Caenorhabditis elegans: one gene and its partner. The protein of the gene in region 1 purifies or fractionates together with the protein of each later gene. This does not show direct contact. Each region holds a gene or a part of one and is shown in the gene's direction. Other genes may lie near its edges.

What was found.
Region 2: the proteins of Y43F8C.3 (region 1) and eif-3.J fractionate together in Caenorhabditis elegans (co-fractionation; one large-scale study listed by BioGRID). This does not show direct contact.

Annotation. Positions count from the first base shown.
Region 1 is NC_003283.11:19,615,764-19,628,521, reverse strand, and holds the start of Y43F8C.3 (BTB domain-containing protein), read left to right. Parts: upstream 1-5,895; 5' UTR 5,896-6,175; coding exon 6,176-6,276; intron 6,277-7,573; coding exon 7,574-7,787; intron 7,788-9,125; coding exon 9,126-9,275; intron 9,276-10,096; coding exon 10,097-10,232; intron 10,233-10,331; coding exon 10,332-10,593; intron 10,594-11,572; coding exon 11,573-12,365; intron 12,366-12,758. Other genes in the region: dyf-19 (Fas-binding factor 1 C-terminal domain-containing protein), read right to left, coding at 839-1,177, 2,472-2,716, 3,080-3,148, 3,258-3,380, 3,428-3,460.
Region 2 is NC_003279.8:13,425,402-13,438,466, forward strand, and holds eif-3.J (Eukaryotic translation initiation factor 3 30 kDa subunit), read left to right. Parts: upstream 1-10,087; 5' UTR 10,088-10,103; coding exon 10,104-10,524; intron 10,525-11,351; coding exon 11,352-11,434; intron 11,435-12,173; coding exon 12,174-12,308; 3' UTR 12,309-12,565; downstream 12,566-13,065. Other genes in the region: Y40B1B.7 (Coiled-coil domain-containing protein 86), read right to left, coding at 1,133-1,222, 2,733-2,934, 2,984-3,063; slc-25A46 (Solute carrier family 25 member 46), read left to right, coding at 3,519-3,600, 3,684-3,828, 5,396-5,689, 5,738-5,795, 5,852-6,000, 6,583-6,913, 8,398-8,633, 8,684-8,803 and 1 more; spr-5 (Lysine-specific histone demethylase 1), read left to right, coding at 12,667-12,745.

The DNA of each region.
Region 1 (12,758 bases):
ACCAAGGTACAGTAACCCAAGACACCGAATTTCACGCAAAGTTGCACTAAAAATCTGAAAATGGAGGATTAGGGGTAACTTCGCACGGATAATCAGAAAATCTGCTCAAAATTTCAAAGTTTGGGCCAAGATTTGGCCCGAATTTTTTAATTTTTGAATTGTTTTTTCTAAAATTTCAAGATTTTTTTTCAAGTTTCATAAATTTTTGTGTGAATTTTCAGATTCCCCATGCCAAGTTACCCCTATCCCGAAAATTTCAAAAATTCCGTAAAATCAGGTGTCCAGTCCGCAAACACCAAGGTACTACTGAAGGTACCAACACACCAAATTTGACGCAAAGTTGCACTAAAAATCTGAAAATTGAGGCCTAGGAGTGGTTTTGCACGGAGAATCAGAAAATGAGCTCAAAATTCAAACATTTTGAATTTTGGGCCAAGTTTGCGCACTTGGTTTGTGAATTTTTGACCTTTTTTGGATTTTACTAAAATTTCAGCGTTTTCCAAAAACTTCCTGAAATTTTTATATAATTTTCCAGATTACCCATGCCAAACTACCTCTTTCCCTAATTTTTCAGAGCTCTAACTCAAAATTCCGTAAAATCAGGTGTCAGGTACGCAAACACCGAGGTACAGTAACTCAAGACACCGGATTTGACGCAAAGTTGCACAAAAAATCTGAATCTGAAAATTGAGGGTTAGGGGTAATTTTGCACGGAGAATCAGAAAATCTGCTCAAAATTTTAAAATTTTGAAGTTTTGGGGCGAATTTTTCGATTTTTAAAATTTTTTAAACCGATTTTTTAATATTTTTCAATTTTAAAGGCACATAGTCAACTTACACCACATCCGCCGCAATTTTATCAATATTCGTAGAAATTGTATCCACTTTCCCCACCACTGCCACTAGATCCCCAACCTGACTCGTCGATGACGTCACATTCTCTAGCTGCCTATCGTAATTGGCTTTAAGCCTTTCGAGCTCCACGTGATGCTCATCTTGAAGCTTTGAAATTTGTGCTCTTTGTGCAGTTTTTGAGTCTTCCAGTGCCTTTTCCGAGTCTTTTGACTGGATTTCCAGCTTGGTTTTCCAGAAATTCTCCAAATCTTCCTCGTCTTCTCGTTTCTTGCGTTTTGTGTCTTCAAGCTCACGGTTTACACGTTCTAGCTCGGCTTCTAGTCTGAAATTTGAAAAAAATTGAGAAATTTGTTCCAGAATTTGATTTTTGATATAAAATTAAAAAAAAAATTTTCCAAAAATTTTGAATTTCAAAATTTTTTCAAAATTACCGATTTTAGCTGATTTCCTATCGATTTTATCGATTTTTTCATTTTTTAGCCTAAAAAAACATCCATTATGCTCTTATTTAAAAAAAAAACGACGGAACCTAGCCGATATGGGTGTTATTTTGAAGCTCTCAGTGAGCTGAAGGTGATAAAATACTGAAAAAAAAACAAAATTACCAAAAATTAAAAAATAACTTTTTTTGAATTTTTGAAAAAAAAATTTCAAAGAAAGTTTTTTTAAAGCTGATTTCCTATCGACTTTATTGATTTCTCTATTTTTCAGCATCAAAAACACCAATTATGCCCATAATCCTCTAATTTTTGGATTTTGGGTCCCGCCACGAGGGGTACTGTAGTACCCGAATAATGCCCAAATTTTGAACAATTAGGGTAGTATAGCCGATATGGGTGTCATTTTGAAGCTCCCAGTGAGCTGAAGGTGATAAAATAGCCAAAATTTAAAAAAATTAAAAATTAAAATTTTTTTTTGAATTTTTGAAAAAAAAATTTCAAAAAATTTTTTTTTTCGAAAATTTTTAATTTCAAAATTTTCTCAATATTTATTGATTTATGATTAAAGTATTTATTTTTGATCGATTTTTCACGTTTTCAGCTCCAAAATAACCCCAATAATGCTCAGAACCCTCTAGTTTTTGGATTTTGGGTCCCTCCACGAGTGGTACTGTAGGCACCCGAAATATTCTAAAATTTTGAAAAATGACGGAAACTAGCCGATATGGGTGTTATTTTGAAGCTCTCAGAGAGCTGAAGGCGATAAAATATCAAAAAACGAACAAAAATTTGAATTTGAAATTTTTCGAATTTTTGAAAAAAATTCAAAAAATGTGTTTTTCGAAAACGTTAAATTTTGAAATTTTCTCAAAATTATCGATTTCAGATAATTTTTGTTTGATTTATCTCATTTTTCAGCTTTTTAGCTTCAAAATAACATCCATTATGCCCATAGTCCTCTAATTTCCGATTTTTGGGTCCCGCTACGAAGGGTACTGTAGGTACTCGAAGAATGCCCAAATTTTGAAAAATTAGGGTAGTATAGCCGATATGGGTGTCATTTTAAAGCTCTCAGTGAGCTGAAAGTGATAAAGTAACGAAAATTAACAAAAATTAAAAATTAAGTTTTTTTTGAATTTTTGAAAAAAAAATTTTTTTCGAAAATTTCAAATTTACCTCAAAATCCTTCCCGCATCAAAATTATCCGGTGGTGGAGCAGTAGCCGTTGGCTGTGAAGCCGCCGGAGCGGCTACAGTAACCCCTGGGGTTACTGTAGCAGCTCTTGGCGCCGTGCCAAAAAGGTCGTCGAGGGTGGAGGCGCCTGCGGGTCTCCGTGGAGCCGACGCCGCACCTGATGCTCCAAGCCCAGAGCCCGTGCTTGTGCCAAATAGGTCGCTGAGAGCATTTGTAGAACGACCAGCCTGAATTTAGGAAATTTTGAAAAATAATTTTTTTTCGAAATTTTGAAAAAAATTTTTTTTTTGAAAAATGTCTTATTTTTGGAATGTTACTCTTCGATAGGCCATTTATGATATTACCAGCTTTCAAATAACCCCAATATTGCTTAGAATCCCGTAATTTTGATGTTTAGGGTCCCGCCACGAGGATACTGTAGGCACCCAAAAGTTGATCCAAAAATGAAAATTAACGGGGTATAGGCGATATGGGTGTCATTTTAAAGCTTAAGGTAAGATAAAAACGTTGAAATACAGATTTTTAGAAAAATTTGGGTCAAGAAAAAAAATAAAAAAATTTTCAAAAAACATTTTTTTTTTTAAACTTACCGCTCTCATTTCAGATGTATTTTCTTCCCGGTTTGTTGCAAAATTTACAGTTTTAGGTGCCTGCGGTTCCTGAAAATCAGTCTTATAGCATCATCCAAAATTCAGGCCAAAATAGGCCAAAAGCCTTTTTTTTTTGGATTTTTCGCAGTTTTTTCCCAAAAAGAAGTCACAAAATCACCTTATCCAAGTCAGAGTCCAATAAAAAATCTAGTCCACTACTTTTCGGCCGCGAATTTTTCGAATTTCCCGGCAAATTGGGGGGAGGTGGTGGTGCTGGCTGGGGTGGTTCGGTGTCTAAATTCTGAATAAAATATCGAATTTTTTTTTGAAAATATGCTGAAAACGCACATCTAATAAATCTCCCCACTCATCGTCTGACATACACGAGAAATCTGGAAAATTTTTTTTGTTTTTGAAAAAAACATTTTTTTTCGAAAAAATGCCAAAAAAAAATTTTTCAAAAAACGTTTCTAAAACTAATTTTAACTAACAAAAAATCATTTTTTTCAAGGTTTTGGTCAAAAAATTTGCAAAAAACCGCAAAATCGGACATAATTTCCAGGAAAATCGAAAATTAGCTCTAAAAAATTCTAAAAATTTCCAAAACTCACTAAACTTTTCCAAAACTTTTTAACCAACCTATTTCTAATACCTAAAACCTAAAAATTTCAGTAAAAACATAATAAAATGCGGGAAATCGAGAATAAAGGGTCTAAGCGGGACGAAGGGGGTGAAGCTTAAAGAAGGGGGTTGCCATAGTAACCGACTGGGGCAGAAGCTTCGAGAGTTTGCAGAGGAAGAAAGAAGCTGGAGACGGAAATAATAGGGAAATGTATAGCAGACCTCGCTGATAACAAATGATTACCCGGGGAACCTAGGGGGCATAGGGGAAAGGGGGGTAAACAAGGAAAACTCAGTGGAAATTTGAAAAACAACGACTTGCGGAACAAAAATTGGCAGATTTTGCGATAAAATTCGCTTTTAACCGTGAATTTTGAGTTATTACACAAAAAAGTTGGAAAATAAAATTTTTGCTCAAATGGCGCAGTAGGTCACAGAGATGGCTGGCACCCAGAAGGTCACGGGTTCGACCCCCAGCGTAGCCATTTTTTTTTCAATTGCGTTTCACACATTTAATTATTTTTTGAAAGTGTGCAAGTAACATTTTGCAGTTTTTACTAAGATCTTGAATCTGTCAAAGGGTTTTTCGAATTTTACCGGTTTTTTGGATAGTTCGACCCAAAATTTCAATATTTTGACGCCAGAAACTTTGAAAAATGCCCTAAAATAATTCTTCTGGCAATAAAAGATAAAAAATAAAATTTCGACCAAGTGGCGCAGTCGGTAACAGGGATGGCTATGACCCAGAAGGCCACGGGTTCGACCCCCCGCTAGAGTCAAAATTTTTTTTAAACTCTAAAGCTAAAGACAACGCAGTTAAAAACTATCATGACTTGGAACATGCCTATATTAGGCCTGAATTCGGTTCATTTCAGCCTATTTCGGCCCAAATATTTAAGTTGCTCAAACCTAGCCAATATGGGTGTTAAAACTATCCAAATTTCACGGAGAATCTGAATTTTTAAGTTACAACTCACAAAAAATTAGGGAAAATTGGTCACCGCTATTGGCTCTATGCCATACATGGCCCAAATTGAGTCCAAAACTGCTCTGTGTGTCCGGATGTCCTTATCAGCTGATATCATCAGTTTTCCCCCGCATATCGGTCACTACTAATTTGCGAGTAGCCAGCCGCCGTCTCTGCGTCTCTCATCGATCTTATCATCAACAAAATCGTAAATTGCCCGTTTTATTTGGACGAATCGGCATCTACCGTAACCAACAAATAGACTATGCTTTAAAATTGTTTGGTATGAGTGAAAAAGAAAAATATTGACCCTAGCAGGGGGTCGAACCCGTGACCTTCTGGGTGGTAGTCATCTGTGTTACCCACTGCGCCATTCGTGCAAAATTGGGATTTTGACTTTTTTTTTGCTCTGACCTTAAAACTTTAGGTTTATATGTTATTTTTATTTTTTCAGTTAGGAAACTATGGATTTTAGACTGATATTTAACAAATTAGAGTTGAAAATCTGTATTTAAAAGTTAAGCTGTGTTCTATGACATTTAAATTGATGAATCCTAGCAAATTTAACAAGAAAAAAAATTGACCCCAACGGGGGGTCGAACCTGTGACCTTCTGGGTGGTAACCATCCGTGTTACCCACTGCGCCATTCGTGAAAAATTCCAATTTTGATTTTTTTTCGGCTCTAAACTTCAACTTGTTGATTTTAGATGCAATTTTTTTAACTTTACAGTTTGTCGGTTCACACGAAAATTCAACAGGCTGGGCTAAAATTGACAAAATTTTAGCTGAAAATCGTTGTTGGCGTATGGCAAAGTTGCAAGTAAGTAAATCTTAGTGAGTTGCCTCTGCAAAAATTATCGTCCACAGCGGGGCTCGAACCCGATACCCTCCGATCCAAATCCATTCCTGTAACCTACTGAGCCACTTGTGCAAAATTCAATTTTGCAACTTTTTGCAGCCAAGCCCATTTTTCACCGTTTTTTCTCAATTTTTAGTCAATTTTTAGCATTCGACACAATCTAAACCCTCAATGTATATTGGCCAAGCGGTGGTGGACTGCTGGTCGGAGACGAGTGAGAGAGACGGGCCTCATGTGTCTGTGAGTGTGCGTGAGTGAGTGAGTTTGTGAGTGTGTGTTGAGCGCGCAAAAAAGAACACATTGGCCGTCGTAGTGCGGTAAAAGAGACGGAGAAGTTGCGGGGAATTGTTTGGGTGGTGAGGGGTTCGGGTGGGGCGGGGAGGGCGAGTCGATCAGCCGGGCCTCGCTTTCTCTGGCCGCTTCGGCATCTCTGATGTCTCTCCGTCTCCGGCACTCCCTCCCAGCTGTGTTGTCCGCCTATCTCTTTTGCCCCATCCATAGAGACACACTCACCAGCGCCCCTCTGCATACCCTCTCAGCTGACACACTAGAAAGGTCTGTTATTAGTAGTTGGCATATTCGCCTTTATTTTGCGGAAACTCGGCAATCCCCCCGGAGGAGCTTGGCTCGGCAATCGGCTCGCCAATCATGGATGATGAAGAGGAGATCCCTGTAAAGTACAAGCTCGACGGAGAAACCGAATGGCAGGTCAAGAAGGAGGCGGTGATGAAGCTCGGCAAGACTGAGTGGTAAGCTAGGGGGTATATATAGGTATATCTCGGAAATTATCAGAGCAATCAAAAAATTGTTAACTGAGGAATTGTAGAACTAGTTTTCAGCTACATTTTTGTAGTTGACAACTTTTTTGTATTACGTTTGGTTTTAGAGTTACAGCGTTTTGAAGTCTAGGGTCGGGAAAATCAATGGTGCGCAAAGGGGGAGGTAGTATAGGGTATATCTCAAAGATTAATAGCGGAATCAAAAAATTGTCAACTGAGAAATTATAGAGCTAGTTTTAAGCTACATTGTTGTAGTTGACAACTTTTTTGTAGGACGCTTGGTTTTAGAGTTACAGCGTTTTGAAGTCTAGGGTCGGGAAAATCAATGGCGCGCAAAAGGGGGGGGGGGGGTGTAGCATAGGGTATATCTCAACGCCTATAGGAAATATCAAAAAATTGCCAACAGTAAACTTGTAGAGCTAGTTTGCAGCTACATTCTGTTAGTTGAAAATTTATTTCTAGGTGCAGTGGATTTAGAGTTACGGCTCTTTCAATATCGGAGCCTACAAAATCAATGACTGCGGAGGGCAATGGTGCGCGAAAAGGGGGAGGGGGGTGTGCTAGAGTGTATCTTAATGACTATCAGTGATATTAAAAATTGTCAACTAAAGAATTGTAGAGCTAGTTTTCAGCTATATTTTGTACGTTGACAACTTTTTTCTAGGACACTTGGTTTTTGAGTTACGGCGTTTTGAAAGTTAGGGTCTAAAAATTAGGGGGCTCTGGCCAACAGGCCGTTTAAATCGGGATTTGTAGTTTTCAGGTCTTTTATCTATTTTCATAAGCCAATTGAAGACTGTAAAAAATTTTTGAGCCTAGCGGGGGGTCGAACCTACGACCCCTAGATTCATAGCCATCCGTCTTAGCCACTGAGCCACTTGCATAACTCCGTTATTTTGAAGTTTTTCAGCCCGAGACTAACTTTTTTGAATTGTCCTGGAAATTTGAGAAAATATGACACCCATATTGACTAGTTTCTGGTAAAATGGATTTTCAGGCCGTATCTAGGCCGAATTAGGCCAAATCTAGGCCATACCCAATTATTGCCGATTCAAGAGCAGTTTAGCACAAAAATAAAGTAAATGTTAAATTCATAATAGCCTATTTAAAATTGATGAAAAACTCGGACCCGTTTCGGCCCATTTTGGCCTATTCCGGCCCAAAATCTCAACTTTTCAGATTATAGCCGATATGGGGGACTTATTATCGGAAATTTTACGTAGAATCTAAATTTTTTAGTGCCAATACCTGAAAATTGAATTTTCAGGGCGATCCGTCTGAAACTGTGCAAGCAAGGCGAGAATCACAGCTACTACTCTCTCCACGTGGCAGCACTCACTCCAAACCAAGTGTCTCGGCTGCAAATAAAATGCACACATCAGGTCGAGCCGCCAGTCGTTGACTGGGAGCAGGAGTACACATTTGGAGGAGCTCACACCGTATTGGTCAATCCTTGCCTGTTGAAGATTGCCGAACAGAAGGTAAGGGGCTCGAACTAAGGCTCCAGCTGAGAGATGGATAGAGATACGGGAAAATTGTCAACTATGAACTTGTAGAGAAAGATGTAAGGTACATTTTGTTTGTTGATAACTTTTTTGTAGCATGTACCATTATTGAGATATACCATGTTGAAGTTGAAAATCAAAATTTGTACCTAGTACCTAGGACCACCAACTTCAAACGTCTGTAACTCCTTCAGTATCAGAAATATAAAAATTTTGTCAACTACCATAATAACCAGCTCATCAAGCTCTACAACTTTTCAGTTGACAATTTCCTTCTACCTCCTCAACTTGCATAGATATACGACGTTTCCCTCTTCCTATTCTCTGCCCCCAAAAGCTTAGAAAAGCTTGTGCGCGCATCTCATGAGCGCCGAGACAGTGTATAAGACGAAGAGACGCAGAAAACCGAAAAATACTCATGTCTAGGCGTATGTGTGTGTGTAAATGTCATGTGCGCTCTCTCCTCGCTTCCAAAACCCGACAAAAACATCGATTCGGCCGTCTCCAAGCGAAAGGGGAAAATGGAAGTGTTGGGGGGGACTGTAATAGACTTATAGAACATTTACGGTGATTTCAAAATTTAAAAATATAACCATTATGTAGAGGAAGTTTTGAGCTACAAATTGTTAGTTGGAAAATTTTTGCTAAACCTAAAAGCTTTGAAGTTACAGGAGCTTGAAGCCTTCTTCCAAATACTTCAGATTTTTCATCCTAAAATTCTGAAAACTCCATAGTTTTAACTTTCCAATGTGAAAAGTGTGTTATATACACTCAGAAAAAATTTTGTAACCCTATCCGGGCTCGAACCACCGACCTCTAGGCCAAAACCATAGCTGTTAGCCACTGAGCCAATTATCCAACTTTTTTATTTTTAGAGTTATCGATTTGTAGTTAAAATATTTGAATTCTCCGTAAAATTTGCAAAGTTTTGACACCCATATTGACTATATTCCGATGAATTTGGGTTTTGGGCCGAAATAAGCCGAAATAGGCCTGAATTAGGCCGAAAATCAAGTTTTGCAATACTTTCGGGCTTTAATATTTTGAATAATCAGTGACTGGTTAGCTACCATTGCTAGACACCGTGAGGGAATTTTCGGCCTGAATCGGCCTAATTCGGCTTAATTCGGCCCAAATCGGCCCAAATTTTCAATGTTTCAGAATGTAGTCAATATGGGTGTCAAAACTTTGCAAATTTTACGTGGAGTTCGAATTTTTAATGGAAAAATGACTGAAAGTTTAAAAAAACCTTACCCTACCTAAACAGTATAAAAAAAATTCCAAAAAAAAATCCAAAAAATTTTTTTTTTGCAGGAAAAGATGACGTTTGTCGTAGAGCTCAAATTGCTAAATGACTCTGAGAAAAAGCCAGAAAAACCGTTCGAATGCGAAAAGGAGATCAATTTCCCCGGCGGCGACTTCATTCTGAAATCTGGAAACCGGAAGCTGAAAATCAACTCGGCGGTATGTTTGAGTGGCAAAAAATTGACATAAATCATCATGACACATTCCATCATATAACGTTGCAACTAATTAGAGATTCGAATCGGAGATAACACTCAAATTTTTAGAAAATTTTATTCGGGTTACTGTAGCTTTTTTCTAAAGTTTTGTTTTTGGGCCATAAATTGGCCCAAATATTTTTTTAAAATAAACTTGATGTGAAAATTTGAAATCAACATAAAATTTGGATATGATTCAACACCCAAATTGTAAAATCCAAAATTTTGAGGTTTGGGCCAATTTTTTGGGCCTAATCGGCCCATATCTTGGTTCAAAACATTTTTGCGCAACTTTCGATCTAATTTTCGAAATCAGCGCAAAAAATTAGATATGATCTGACCCCTATATCAAATAAATCTAAAATCGAAATTTTGGCCTAATTTTCGGGCCTACTGTGGCCTTGTCGGCCCAAAAAGGCTTTCGTTCACAATTTTAGTCTCAACTTTCAAAATCAACCAGAAATAAAATGCTGATTTAACATTCATTTCACAAAGTTCGATTTTTTTAGTTTCAGGCCTAAATTAGGCCTAAAATAGGCCTAACACTGGGCCTTAAGCTTGATCTAAGATTTTTGGATTCCAGACTAAATGAGGTTCTTGCAAAAGTATATTTCAAACTCCAATTTTTCAGCTTCGAGCCTAAAAAATCAAAATTGAAAAAAAAACCAAGTAGCTCAGTGGCTAACATGCTCGCCTACTAATCTGAAGACCCTGGTTCGACCCCCGCTAGGCTCAAAAATTTTTTTCTATTTGTTATTTCACATTAAAACGAACAAATTTCAGTACGTGAAGCGTCGGTGTCCATTGCTGGGCTATCTCTTCGAGAACGAGGAGACCAAGGAGTATGACGTTGGTGACGTGGAATTTGAAGATCTTGTGGACATTTTTGGCATTTTTCAGAACAGATGGGAGTTGGAAGGTAAGAAACTTATCAAAAACTTTAAAAAAAATCCAAAAAATCAAAAAAAAAAATTTTCCAATTTTTTTTACTTTCAAAAAAATCCAAAATTTTTTTCAGCCGACCGTATGATCCATTTAATCCCAATTGCTCGAAAATTCGGCTTCGACATCTGGGGAAAATCTTTGAACCGTGAATTCAGCCAACTTATGCACCGCCTGGACCCCGTGGAAATTGTGGCGGAGCCCAACGAGGAACCCGTGAAATTTGAGTTCAACACAACTTTGAAATGGGCTATTGATGATTTCGAGTTGATCGGGCCGTCAACACTGCCGAAAAATCAGAATTTGATGGTCACATGGGAGGAGCAGAATCGGAATTGGTGAGGGGGCCGAGAAATTCAAATTTTTTTGGAAAATTTGGGTCTCAACTTTTTTGTTTTCAAATTTGGTACTTTTTTATTCAAAAATTTGAATTCTCCACAACATTTCTGAAATAATGACACCCATATTGACTATGTTCTGTCAAAGTGGAATTTTCGGGCCGAAATAGGCCGAAATAGTCCAGAATAGGCCGAAAATCAAAATACCAGTATTTTGATTTAATACTTGAAAAAATTCCGAAAATATCAAAACCCATATTGACTATGTAATTTGAAATTAGAATTTTCGGACCGAAATAGGCCAGAATAGGCCAAATTAGGCCAAAGTAGGCCACATTGAGCAAAAATCGAATTTTGCAGTTCTCTGCGTTTTCGGGCAATAAAATTTTTGGAAATTATCAAGCAACACGAAAAATATAGTTTTTTTTTATTTTGGCTTAATTTCGGACTATTTCGGCACACAATTTTGTTTTTGGATGTCTCTTTTTCGGAAATTTTGCTGAAAGTCAAAATTTTATTTTATTTGCTAATAACACATGTTGAAAAATTCAAAAAATAGTTTATTTCCAAAATTTCATTTTTTGGCCTAATTTTGGCCTATTTCGGCCCAAATTAAAAATTTTTTGATTTTTCCAGGATATAGCTAATATAAGTGTCAAAAATTTGCAAATTTTTGCGTAAATTTCAAAATTTTCAGTGTCAAAGTCCCACACCTGCAAATTTGGTCTTGTTTCCGAAAATTTTCAATTTTCGGCTTATTTTTGGCCTATTTCGGCCCAAATTTCGACTTTTACCAAATAGGGTCAATATGGGTGTCAAAACTTTGCAAATTTTGCGTAGAATCCAAATTTTTAGTGTAAAACTCCTAAAGTCTATTCAAAGTTTTTTACAGGACTTTTTTTGCGAAAAAATAAAAAAAATAAAAAAAAATTTTTTTTTGCAAAAAAAATTTTTTTTTGCGAAATTCCAATTTTTCCAGCATTATCTACACCTACACCCAGGAGATCCTAGGCGAGAAGTACGTCTCCCTGGGCTTCCAAATGAGCCGCCCATCCACCTCCGCCACCACCAGCGACGACGACGACGACGAGGAGGATGTGAATGTGATCGACGACGAGTCGGTCTACTCGGAAGATCAACGTGTCAAGTACTTCGACATCGACATTCACGTCATCAATGAGAACGGGCGCCGCTTACACAGTGACCGGATCCAAAGGATCCGCGACGACGAGTATACCATCGTGGGGACACCGATCTTCGCCTACTTCGACCACCTCTGCCAATACCTCGACGAAGATGGGGCCCTACTGATGGAGATCAACTGGATCGAGAATCATGACATGGTATCTGATGACGAGGAGGATGACGACCTAGACTTCAGCAAATTGCAGAAGCCGCGGCTGAAAATGCCAGGCTTGACCAATTGCTTCCTCCGCTGTGAAGGTCAGCTGATCGAGGTGAACCGTGAATTTCTGGCTCACAGCTCTCAGTACTTTTCGGGGCTCTTTTCGAAAAACTTCCGTGAAGGCTACGAGCGTACCGTTAACCTAACCTACGAGCATCTGCCTACCTTGAAGCTTGGGCTCCAGGTGCTGTACAATCGCCGGCTCCCGCTGAATGATGTGGAAATCTCGCGGGTGCTGGATTTTGCGGATCGGATTTGTGCGAAAAGTGTTATGGAGAGCCTGCAGAGGCAACTGTGGAGCTGTAAGAATATGAGCTTTGGAGATAAGAAATGGTTGGCTGAGGAGTTTATGCTCACGGATTTGAAGGTTGGTTTGGGCTTTTGGCGAAAAATTGACTAAAATTATGAATTTCCCGCCAAAAATTGACTGAAAATTCGAATTTTCCGCTGAAAATTAAGTGAAAATTTGAAATTCCCGCCAAAAATTGACTAAAAATTTGAAATTCCCGCCAAAAATTGACTAAAAATTTGAATTTCCCGCCAAAAATTGACTGAAAATTCGAATTTTCCGCTGAAAATTAAGTGAAAATTTGAAATTCCCGCCAAAAATTGACTGAAAATTCGAATTTTCCGCTGAAAATTAAGTGAAAATTTGAAACTCCCGCCAAAAATTGACTGAAAATTTGAATTTTTTCTGAAATTTCCAAAAAAAAAAATTATTACACATTCGTCAAAATCAGTGGTTCAAATTTTTGACGAG
Region 2 (13,065 bases), on another chromosome or scaffold:
AGTCATTCAAATCGGCTAATTTTCGGCTAATTCGGCTAATTCGGAAAATATTCATTTGGTTAAGCTATTTTTGTCCATTCTGTTAATTCAGGTTTTGGGTTAATTTTTTCACTGTTATTGAGCAAATTCAGGGATGAACGACTGTTCAAATAGGAAAAAATCATACAAATTCACCACATTTTGTTTTCCAAAAAAATATGTTAGTTGAATTAGCCGAAATAGCCGATCGGCGAATTCGGCTAACATCGGCCAAAATCGGCAAACGGATAACTACGTATTAGCCGAACTGCCAAAAAGTCGGCTAACGGATAATTCGGCTAATATTAGCCGAGTTAGCCGAATTAGCCGATCGGCGAAAATACGGCTAAATCGGCTATTATCCGCACACCCCTGATCGACAATACAACACAGTGTAAAAACATTTGGCCGTATAAATTTGTATACGTATAACTTGTGTTTCAATGAGTACATACTGAAACAAAATACTGGAATTGTTATAAGATGTGGCTATGAGAAGAAAGCAATGGTGAATGTGAAACTATTCGGTCCCCACACAGAAATTAAAGTTCTGTTCCAAGTGTCATTGATTGTGTAATATTCTTGAACTGTCAAATAAAATATATTTTCACATATTTTTGTATAATGAATAATTTATTCATAATTTATCCTGTTGAGGCTCGCCGAGCAGTTCACGATTCCGAGGAGCTACTGTGTGCATTTTTCACTGGAAAATTCGATTCTGAAAGCTGTTATTCCGTGAAACAATGTTTAAAACGTCCTAGAGTCCATTTATATGTATGATTCGGTGGCCGGTGGATAATTTTTTGGGGAAAATTGAACTTTTCGTAAAATTTTGAATTTTTTTTGACATAATTTGAGGCCTAGAACCATAGCTATTTTTTTTCCGATTTTTTTCCAAAGTTATTTTCAAAATTATAAATAATTTCATTAATATGAGTAGATGATCGCTATAAATCCCCCCGATTTCGCAATAATTTCGAGATTTTTTATCCAATAAATTTTCTGATTTTTGGCACGAACATTTTTTTTTTCGAAACACTTTTTTATTAATGAAAATGGACAACAAGAACAACGGAAAATGAATGAAAATCAACAAAAAAATTATTTGGAATCACTTGGTCACTTGTGTAGTATCACGCATTTGAATGGAGCGGAGCTGGCGTTTCTTCGTCTTTTTCAGCTTGTGGATTTTCGTGATTTTCTGAAAGAATAATGTAGTTTGTAGTTGATATAAATGTTTTTTATCAAGAACTTTCTTATACTTTCCGAAGAAAAAGCAGCTCCTGAACGTTTTTTAACCGCTAAAATGGTTGGTTGAGGCTCAGCTGACTTTGTAGTTTGTAGTCTCAGCCTCAACCAAGTCTTTTGTCGGTTTTTATTTGCAAAATTTTGATAATTTATTCAGAGAAACTCCTTAATTCAAGCTAAATATTCAATTTACAAGGAATTTCACGGAAAAAAAACTCGAAAAATCATGATTTTTCAGTGTTTTCAAGCCAGAAAAGTTTGGTTGAGGCTTAGTCAACTTTGTAGTTTATAGCCTAAGCCTCACCCTCTCTTTTTTGCGGTTTTTTTGTAAAATTTTGATAATTTTTACCGAGAAATTCCTTAATTCAAGCTAAATATCTAATTTCCAACGGAACTCACGAGAAAAACTCGAAAAATCATGATTTTTCAGCGTTTTCCGATGCTTTTTACGCCATGGAAAGGTTGGTTGAGGCTAACTTATTTTGTAGTTTGTAGTCTAAGCCTCAACCACAAATTATAGACAGTTTGAGCAGGTTTTCCATGAATTTTTGCAGGAAAAATCTTCAAATTGTGCGTTATAGTAATAAATTTTTGATTTATTGTTGGTTTTTCCAGAATAAAAACTCGAAAAATCATGATTTTTCAGTGTTTTCAAGCCAGAAAAGTTTGGTTGAGGCTTAGTCAACTTTGTAGTTTATAGCCTAAGCCTCACCCTCTCTTTTTTGCGGTTTTTTTGTAAAATTTTGATAATTTTTACCGAGAAATTCCTTAATTCAAGCTAAATATCTAATTTCCAACGGAACTCACGAGAAAAACTCGAAAAATCATGATTTTTCAGCGTTTTCCGATGCTTTTTACGCCATGGAAAGGTTGGTTGAGGCTAACTTATTTTGTAGTTTGTAGTCTAAGCCTCAACCAAAAATTATAGACAATTTGAGCAGGTTTTCAATGAATTTTTGCAGGAAAAAACTTCAAATTATGCGTTGTAATAATACTATTTTGATTTATAATTGGTTTTTCAAAAAAAAAACGCAAAAAATCATGATTTTTCAGTGTTTTCAAGCCAAAAAAGTTTGGTTGAGGCTCAGCCAGCCTTGTAGTTTGTAGTCTGAGCTTCAACTAAGACTAGATCGGTTTTTCATGTATTTTTTGGTAGTTTTTATAGAACAATCCTTCAAAATATTCAATTTTCAAGGAATTTCACGAAAAAAAACACAAAAAATCATGATTTTTCAGCGTTATCCGATGATTTTTAGGTCATTGAAGGTTGGTTGAGGATCGGCCGGTTTTGTAGTTTGTAGTCTGAGCCTCAACCAATCCGGCAAGCTTTTTTAACGAATTTTTAGGATTTATAGGATTTAACAAGCGATTTAAGCTTCGTAAATTGGCATTTTCGAATAGAAACGAATTGGTTGAGGCTCAGAAATTCGTGTAGTTTGTAGCCTACTATTCCAGCTACGAACCTGCACAATTTCAGCCTTTCTCTCGTTTTCCAGCCGTCGCTTCTCCTGTTCCACTTTTCTTTCCTTCTTTTCTTGTCGTTCTTGTACTTGTTTCTCTCGAATATTGTCCTGAACCCTTTTGACCATATCTTTTTTCGCTTTCAACTCCATTTTCTTGTCCCACGTGGATTTTAGGGTCTTCACCTTTTTGATTTCAGAGTGCCTGCAAATTTTTTGGAGTTTTCAGGGGGATTATTCAATAAAAAACGAACTTTTTCTCCTGTTTCGTCTTCCACCAACGATTTGACTTGCATGTGTCGTTCATGACGAGAAGATTTGCGCCAGTTGACATTTTTTACCTGGAAAATCAATATTTAAAATGTTTTAAAGGGCCAAAAATGCAATTTCAGCCAGGAATATCACGAAAAAATGCGAAATTTGGACAAAAAACAATGCGTTTTCACTTTTTGACGTTTTCTACTTTTTCAGACCCAAATTGTCATTATTTTCGGGGGTTTTAGGGTTTAAAATACGCAGAATTTTAATTTTTAATTTTTTTAAAGTGAAAAATAACTAAAAACGATCTAAAAATCAAGTTAAAGATGAAAAATTAAAGAAAAAAGTATTGAATTTCGTTGAGAAATGTCTTTGGCCAGTGGGGCGCGTTTGCATTATTTTTGGGCGCTCAATTTTTTTTTTGTTTTTTAATCCAATTTTCTTGATTTTCAGCGTTTTTCCGGGTATTTTAACTCATTTTTTGCCGAAAATTCAGATTTTTGTTTTAAAATTTCACATTTCAGGCCCAAAATGCCTACACAATTCATTAGGAACCGGTCTGCGTTCCCACAAGGAACTAACAATGATATTGATGACTTCCAGTATCAAAATGGTGAGTTTTTGGATTTTAAATCGTTAAAATACTTCATTCGGGTTATAAAAATCTAGAAAAATACAAAAAGCCGAATTTTTCAGATTTTTCATCATCTTCCCACCAGCTTCCTTCAACAGCGTCAGGGTATTCCGAGCACAGTTCACACCAAAATTTCCAGAATCATTCGCCACCACCGGGAAAAGCGACAACTGATCCGCTGGCCGGAGCACTCCTTGGGCTCTCCGAGTAAGGATTACACTACAAACTACACAGCCTCAACCAAAAAAAAAGAAAAAAATTATCAAATTATTGATGAAAACTGTCAAAAAATGTGTTTTAAAAACTAGTTTTTTTGTCGAAATTGCAAAAAAATATGCTTTTTCGATATAATTCCCTCATTCTCGGATTTGGTTGAGGCTCAGACTACAAACTACAACATTTCTAGCCTCAACCATTTTGAAAATGCTCGAAATTTCGCCAAAATAACTGAGAAATTTGAATTTTCAACTTAATATTGCTGGTTTTAGTTGTTTTAGCGAAAAAATGTGGAAATTATTTTTAAAGAATCAATGATTTTTATGTTAAATTTGTAGTTTCTTGGGAAAAACTCAAATAAATCGCCGTTTTTATCGAATTTTAGTACAAATTTCATGAAAATTATAATTTTTCAGCTGAAAATCGACTAAAATTGAGAATTTTCGAAGAAATGGTCTATTTTTGGTTAAAAATGGCTGAAAAATTCGTTGAGGCTCACACTAAAAACTACACTTCTCGCTGAGCCTCACCCAATCTTCAAATCGAGATTTCAATAAATTTTTACGAATTTAAGTTTTTACAAATGCAGTTTTCAATTAAAAATTCAGATTTTATGTGGTCAATTTCGTATTTTCTCCCTTTAAATCACACAAGCTCCCCAAAAAAACCGAAAAATCTGATTTGGTTGAGGCTCAGACTACAAACTACAACATTTCTAGCCTCAACCATTTTGAAAATGCTCGAAATTTCGCCAAAATAACTGAGAAATTTGAATTTTCAATTTAATATTGCTGGTTTTAGTTGTTTTATATATAATATTAAGGTTATGGAAATTTTAATGATTTTTTATTTGAAATTTGTTGAAATTTGGTGTTTCTGGGCAAAAACCTTTTAAAAAATCGCCATTCTAAGCGAATTATAGCGCGAAGTTGTGATTTTCCAGCTGAAAATCGACGAAAATCGCTAATTTTTAAAGAAAAATGTATATTTTTGGCTTAAAAATGGCTGCAAAATCCGTTAAAGCTCATACTACAAACTACACTTCTCGCTGAGCCTCACCCAATCTCGAAATCGAGATTTCAATCAATTTTACGAATTTAAATTTAAAGAAACGCAGTTTTCAATTAAAAATTTTGATTTTATGCTGTCATTTTCGTATTTTCTCCCTTTAAATTGCGTATTTTTTGGCAAAAAATGGCTGAAAAGTTCGTTGAGGTCACACTACAAACTACAACTTTCGCTGAGCCTCACCCAATCTCAAAATCGCCATTTTTATCGAATTTTAGTACAAATTTCGTGAAAATTGTAATTTTTCGGCTAAAAATCGACTAAAATTGAGAATTTTCGAGGAAAAAAAAAGGCGAAAATTGACTATTTTTGGCTTAAAAATGGCTGCAAAATCCGTTGAGGCTCACACTACAAACTACACTTCTCGCTGAGCCTCACCCAAATGAAAAAAACGAGTTTAAATGTTTTTTGCGCTTAAATTAATCGATTTTAAAGGATTTTGTTTTCAATTTTCCGCCTAAAATACCACTACAAACTACACAATTTTCAGCGTCATCACAAAATCGCTAATTTCCCATCCATGCGGTGTGCTCCGCCGTCAATGTCAAGTTCATCAGTTCGCTGGATCTCTCCACCTGACACCAGTCACACTGATTCCTGTAATCTGTAATTCTGTCGCTAAACAAGGAATTCAGACATTCTGGAAAGGAGCAATCGGCTCAAGTGTGCTCTGGGGCCTCACGAATGTTACGGAAATTGTGCTCGGCGATCTTATGGGGTTGCCACGTACTTTTGTGGTTAATGGAAGTGCTGAAAAGTATTGGAAACATATTGTTCTGAAGGGGTAACGGAATTAAGACGAAAAAAAAAATTAAAAATTGATAATTTTCAGAGTAACATTTGTAACAATGACTCCATTCTACATCTCATCATTCATTGAAACTGTTCGAGTAGGCTACAAACTACAAACTACAAAAGCTCTCAGCCTCAACAATCCAATTTTCAGAGCGAATCCGGAATTGGTGGTGAAGACAATAAAATTCTGGATGTTCTTGTGAAGGGTGTGGATCGAATGCGATATTTTTTGACTTCGGGACGAGATCCGTCCAGGAGATTCTCGATTATTCATTTGGCTATTCCAACTGCGGGATTTCAGTGAGTTTTTGCTGGAAAATCACGAAAAATGACCAAATTTAGTGAAAAAATACGCGAAAATCAGGTCAGAATATGAAAAATTGGTTGAGGCTCAGACTACAAACTACAATTTTTGTTTAGCCTCAACCAAGGAAAAATATGTGAAAATTACTGATTTTTCCTGGTTTTTAGTGTTTTTTAGTGAAAACTCATCGATTTCAGTGGGAAAATTTTAAAAAATGTCTTCATGTTTCCCGGATTCTCCAACGAAAAATTGGAAATTTAAGGAAATTTAACTTGGTGAGGCTGAGAACGAAGTGTAGTTTGTAGTCTCTGGGCCTCAACTAAATTTCGAACAGTTTTTTAAAGATAAAAAGCCGGAAAACACATTTTTGTTCAAAAAAACTAGTTTTTCAAAGAAAAATTCGTTCGAAAAAGTTGAAAAACGGCTGAAAACTCGCAAAAATCGAAGATAATTTGTTGAGGCTCCAAAATTTGTAGTTTGTAGTCTCTGAGCCTTAACCAATTCATGAATTGTGCATCGAAAAATCGAATAAATCCCAGTTTTCAACAACAAAAATTGAAAAAATTTTTTTTTTTTAGAGTTGGTCACTACATGCTCCAAACGGCCCTTTACCATCAATTCTTCCGAATGGCGAAACGATATGTAAACCGAAAATCGCCGGCGGAAAAGACGACTTATCACGATTTCCTGCCCCAAATGTTCGCTCAAACATCATCAATGGTGTTAACTGATTTGATACTTTATCCATTTGAAACAATTGTTCATCGAATGTATATTCAAGGAACACGAACACTTATTGATAATATGGATACAGGATTATCAGCAGTTTCGATGACTGTCAAATATTCCGGTTATTTTGATTGTGTTCGACAAGTTCTTGAAACGGAAGGTTTTTGGGCACTTTATGCGGTACATTTTTCAGGATTTCTTTTGAGAAATGTGGCAAAAAATAAGGAAAAATCAATGAAATTTACGAATTTTTCCTTGAGTGAGGCTCAGCAAGAATTGTAGTTTGTAGTCTGATGCTCAACCATTATTCTAGTGGGATTTTACGGAAAATTTTTTTTTTCAGGACTTCTTTATAAAAATGTGGAATTTATTGAGAAAATACACATATTGAGTTGATTTTCATCATAAAAACCTTAAAAATAACTTTTTTTTTATCAAAAAAAATTGGTTGAGGCTGTGGAAAAGTTGTAGTTTGTAGTGTGAGCCTCTACCAAAATAAAAATGTTTTGAGAGATTTTACAACAAAAAAAAACGATTAAAAATTACGATTTTTCAGAGAATTGTATTACTTTTACGCACAGGTAAATTGGTGAGGCTCAGCCAACTTTGTAGTTTGTAGTCTCCGAGCCTCAACCACGATTATTGCCAACTTATACGATTTTAAATAATTTTTCTATCAATTTTTACAGATAAATCGTATAATTTAAGATGAATTAATAGTTGAAAATAATCGATTTCTGTGTGATTTCACTGAAAAAACGCCAAAAATAATGATTTTTCAGCGTTTCCCATTGGTTGAGGCTCAGCGAATTTTGTAGTTTGTAGTGTGAGCCTCAACCAATCAAAAGAATCGAGATTTTGATGTTATGAATGTTGATTTTTCTTTAGAATTTTTTTTTCATTTTTAGCATTTTAAAACATTCCAAAATTAAACATTTTGGCAAAAATGTAAATTTTATTCATTTTCGGTTGAGCCTATAAAAAGTCGTAGTTTGTAGTGTGAGCCTCAACCATTTTTTCCGAAAAATTGGCAGAAAAAAAAAAAGATTTTTGTCTGGAAATTGATAAAGTTAGAAGATAATCGTAAAAATAACCGAGACTTCTCGCGAAACTGTAGTTTGTAGTCGCGGCTGAACAAATTGGTTGAGGCTCAGCCGACTTTGTAGTTTGTAGTCTCCGAGCCTCAACCACGATTATTGCTAATTTATACGATTTTTTCTATAATTTTTTACAGATTTAAGTTAAATTAATAGTTTAAAATAATCTATTTCTGTTTGATTTCACTGAAAAAACGCCAAAAATAATGATTTTTCAGCGTTTCCCATTGGTTGAGGCTCAGCGAATTTTGTAGTTTGTAGTGTGAGCCTCACCCAAACCAGAAATTGAAGAATTTATGCTATCTATTTAGATTTTTCTTCACTTTTTTAAGAAATCTAGACGAAAATTTAGAAAATTTAATTTTTTTCCAGTTTTGGAATTAAAAATTTTTAAAAAATCGATTCAGATTTGGTTGAGGCCATAAAAAATTGTAGTTTGTAGTCTCTGAGCCTCAACCATTTTTTTAAATTGATAAATTTAGTGAACAATTTCGCAAAACTTTTCTTTTTTTCTGATTTTTCAATGATTTTCATTAATTTTTCAGTCTATTTTTTCTCAATTTCCAGGGTGTCGGCGCAGTTCTTCTCGAATATTCCCTTCACCAAGGCCTCCAACAACTGGTTCGAGCGTGTTTCGATCGCGGATCCGAGCTTCTTCGTAAAGCGACACAAGGTCATCCAGTAGTACAATCCTCCCAGATTACACCACCAATTTCCGCAAAATCCAGCTTCAACGGGCCAATTTCCAATAGTTTCCCGTCGGCTGGAGCCGCTCTTTTATCGCCAATGAGCACACCGAGAAAGTTTGTCAAAAAATCGGAAAATTTTCATTAAAAATTGATTTTTTTTTCAGACATTCAACACCGCCAAAGGACCCCACAGAATTCCCGACTTTCGGGGAAACTGTGAGCCAAATTGGGTCACCTTATCAGATGCCTGATAGGCCTAATGTTTTCGGAAGCCCGCCGAATAGGTAGGCAATGAAATTTTGAATAAAAAAATGTTTTTTGCCCGAAAAATCGATAAATTCTAAGAAAATCCAATTTCAATCATTTCCAGAACTCGTGCCACACATGATTCGACCCAAAGCCTGCCGCCGCTCCAACTGAACATTCGCCCGTCGTCTGGAGACCCATTTTCGGGTTGAAAATTTCAATTTCATAATTTAAATATTCCTCTTGATTGATTTTCGCCTAATTTTCCGAGTTTTTTTTAGTTTATTTTACATTTATTTTCCTATTTAAATAGGAATATTTCTGTGTGTTTATGCCGCCCGATTTCCCCCAGCTAGTCTACGGTAAGCGATTGTACGCAAACACCGAGCGCGGTGTTTGCGTACTCTGCCATTTATTTTTTCGATGAAATTTTTGCATTTTGAAACTCGTTTTTCGGGTGATTTTAATTGATTTTTAGCTCGTTTTTCTTCGTATTTTAGTTTATATTTTCTTTTTCAAGTGTTAAGGAACCTTTTAACCATGCGTGACACCTATTTTTCCCGAGAAAATGTGAATTTAAGGCATTTTTAGGTCTAGATGTTCCACGTCACTTTATTTCTAGATTCAGCTAATTATTTCGCAATATTTAACGAATTTCCTCAAAGATATCCAATAAAAACCAAGCGGAAGCTTTGAAAATCGAAAAATTCACTGAAGAAAACTATTTTTGTGACTTTTTGCCCAATTTTCTCGGATTCTGGGGCTTTTAACGTTTTAAAACGTCGGAAATTTGGCAAATTTCCAAAACCCCGGGTTTTTTGTTGTAATTTTTGGAAAATATTAAAATAATTCAGCGAAAAGCCTGAAAATGCATTAAAATCCGATAGTTTTGGTGAAAAATTGCATTTTCTCTGATTTTTTTTCGAATTTTATCGTAATTATCGAGAAAAAACCATGTTTAAACGAAAAAAATGCTCGAAAAATTAGTTTTTTCTCTGTAATTTTAATTTTTTTTGAAGGTTGAGGCTCTGGCTACAAACTACAAAACTATTTGAGCCTCACTCAATGCCTAAAAGCCTGATTTTGATAGAAAAAATTGAATTTTTTGTGGTTTTTCTCGAATTTTTTAGTGAAAAACTCACTTTTCACGACGAAAATGCTCAAAAACTATCATTTCCCATGATTTTGCGGGATTGGTTGAGGCTTCGGCTACAAACTACATTACTATTTGAGCCTCAACCAACCAATTTTTAACAGTTTTCTTCAATTTTTCATGTTTTTTCTCGCATTTCCCGCAATTAACTCAACATAATATATTACAGAAAACTCTAGGAAACAATGTCCGACTGGGAAGACGACGATTTCGAGCCCGAGGTGTCGACGTTCAAGCGTGCGGAGCCAGCTCCAGAGCCCGTGAAAATCGTCGACGCACCACCGCCACCACAGAAAGCCGCTCCCGCAGCTCCGAAAACTCTGAAAGCCGCTCCAACATTCGCCATGGAATCACTTGGACGAGAACTGACGTCGGCTGAAAAAGAAGCGATACAGAAGAAAAATGATCTCGCGTTGGCTCGTGATTTGTTCGGAGATGATGATTCTGCTGAAGCCACTGACGAAGCGAAGACCTATGCGAATATCATGTCGAAAGCCGATTTCGAGTACTGGGGAGAGCGTGTCGGTGGATTTTTGGCTTCACGGAGTAAAGCATCCTGTTATGGAGATATGATTGGAAAACTTCTCACTTCCGTCACTGATGAGAGTTCGTAATTCGATTTTTTAGACGAAAATTTGGGAAAAACCGATTTTTTATTTTTTACTCCTAAAACCTCGAAAAATCCAAAAAAAATATCGAAAACTGTAAATTTTGGTGCCGAAAATCTTTGGCTGAGGCTCTCGCTACAAACTACACATTTTCGTCAGCCTCACCCATTTTCAAGATTTTTCGACTATTTTACCGGATTTGAGAGAAAAAAAAACAGTTTTCTATTGAAAATTGTGATTTTAGGTGGCAAAAATCGATGTTTCTTTAAATTGCACAATTTCCACTCTCACACACTTCAAACTACACCATTTCTAGCCTCTAAATGAGAAAAATCGTCAATTTTGCACCTGAAAACCACGAAAAACACCAAAAATTGATTGCAATCACAAAAAATTAATGAAAAATCCGATTTTCATTTTGAGTGAGGCTCAGACACTACAAACTACAACATTTCCAGCCTCAACCATTGCTTTGGTTGAGGCTGAAACGTTTGTAGTTTGTAGTCTGCGAGCCTCAACCAAAGTTGATTGCCCAATTTTCTTTTGAAAATACAAATTTTCCGTAATTCCTCATGGATTTAATTGAGAAAATCGAAAAAAAAAAAATTTTTTAAACGAAAAATCACGTTTTCAAGAAATTTGGTTGAGGCTCTATGGCTACAAACTACAAAGTTGCCTGAGCCTCAACCAATTTTCCATGGTCTAAAAAGCATCGGAAAATGATGAAAAATCATGATTTTTTGAGATTTGTTTCGTGGAATCCTCTGGAAATTGAATATTTTAAGCCTGTATAGGAATTCTCCTCAAAAACGATGAATTTTTCAGTGACACCCGCCGAAATCCTGAAAATGGTCACCTTCCTTCAACAGATCAGCGCCGCCAAGAAGACTGCCGAGAAGACGAAAGCGGTAAGTGTGTAAAAGGCTACAAACTACAATTTTTCAGGCGAAAATTCCGAAAAATTGAGCGAAAATGGAGCAAATAATGATTAATTTGGAAGAAAATACTCTTGTTTGAGGCTGAGGACTCTGTAGTTTGTAGTCATAGCCTCAATCAAGTTTAATGTTAGATTTTTTTCAGAAACCACTCAAATTTGTTGGATTTTCGCCAATTTTTTGGTATTTTTTACCGCCAAGCATGTCAAAAAAATGATCAATTACAATTGAAAATTGAAAATATTCAAATTTTTTCATTTTTCTTTGAAAAGTCACGATTTTTTTAAAAATATTCTCCATATTTTCTGCTAAAATAGCCAAAAAAATTCACTTCTCAGCGAATTTCGCAAAATTTCGAACATTCTCAAAAAATGGTTGAGGCTAGAAATATTGTAGTTTGTAGCCAGAGCCTCAACCAAATTTAAATTTAGATTTTTTCAAAATCCACGCACATTTTTTGGATTTTTGCCAATTTTTTTGGTATTTTTTACTACCAAACAGGGAAAAATGGTCAATTTTAAATAAAAATTGTCAAAAATTTCAAAATTCACGAGTTTTCATTCAAAAAATCACAATTCTTTCTCAGTTATCTAATTTCTGGTTTTTTCACCCAAATTTTTTGGGTTTTTGTTGATTTTTTTGCGAATTTTCGCAAAAAATATTCAAATTTCCTCCAAAATTCTCCAATTTTTACCAAATTTTCCCATTCCAGAAGGCCACCACCGCCGCAAAACCAGCTGCAGCTGCCAACAAAAAGAACGCGAAGGCAACGCTGAAAGTGACGAAGGGAAATGACAGCATGTACGACGATTACGGAGACGACCAAGACGATTATGATGATTATTGATTGATTTTTGTTATTTTTGTTAGTCCCCTCCCTGCGTCCCAAAATTTTTCCTGATCATTTTTGCGTCAAAAAGCACACAACATTTCTGTCTTGAACTACGGTGAACTATCTTTTTTCAATTTTTTTTTTTGGAATTTTTTTTTTTGCTCCTTGGGTTTCCGTTTTGGTTCTTTTTTTGTTCTTGTTTTTCCGCCCTCGCTTTTTCTGAATTGTACCCCCTGTTCCGTTTCTGGCAGAATGAAGAGTTCTATGTGTTAGCCAGCTCTTCGTTAGCTCTTTCCCCCCAGTTTTGTCTGAAAATTTAATACTTTTACCTCGAATTTTTGCAGATTTTTAGGGATTTTTTAGCGTTTCAGATATGTCGTCTGACACGGGTTCCGAGTATTTGGACGAAGAGATACGTGGCGATGAATTGGGGCCGTCTATAGATGATAATGGTGAGGAAATCCTGGAAAAAGTGCAGAAAATTGGATAAAAATGGCGGTGGTAGAGGCTCGAGTGTAGTTTGTAGTGTGAGCCTCAACCAAGTTTTCAGCGAAAATTCACGATTTTCAGCAGAAAAATCACAGTTTTGCGCTATAATAACACCAAATATAAGAAAAAACCATTGAGTTTTCCATATTTTTCTGCTAAAAAAGCTTTAAAATTCAACTTTCAAATTGGTTGAGGCTAGAAATGTTGTAGTTTGTAGTGTGTGAGCCTCAACCAGTTTTTCATCCATTTTTAAGGCAAAAATAGGCAATTTTACATTAAAAAT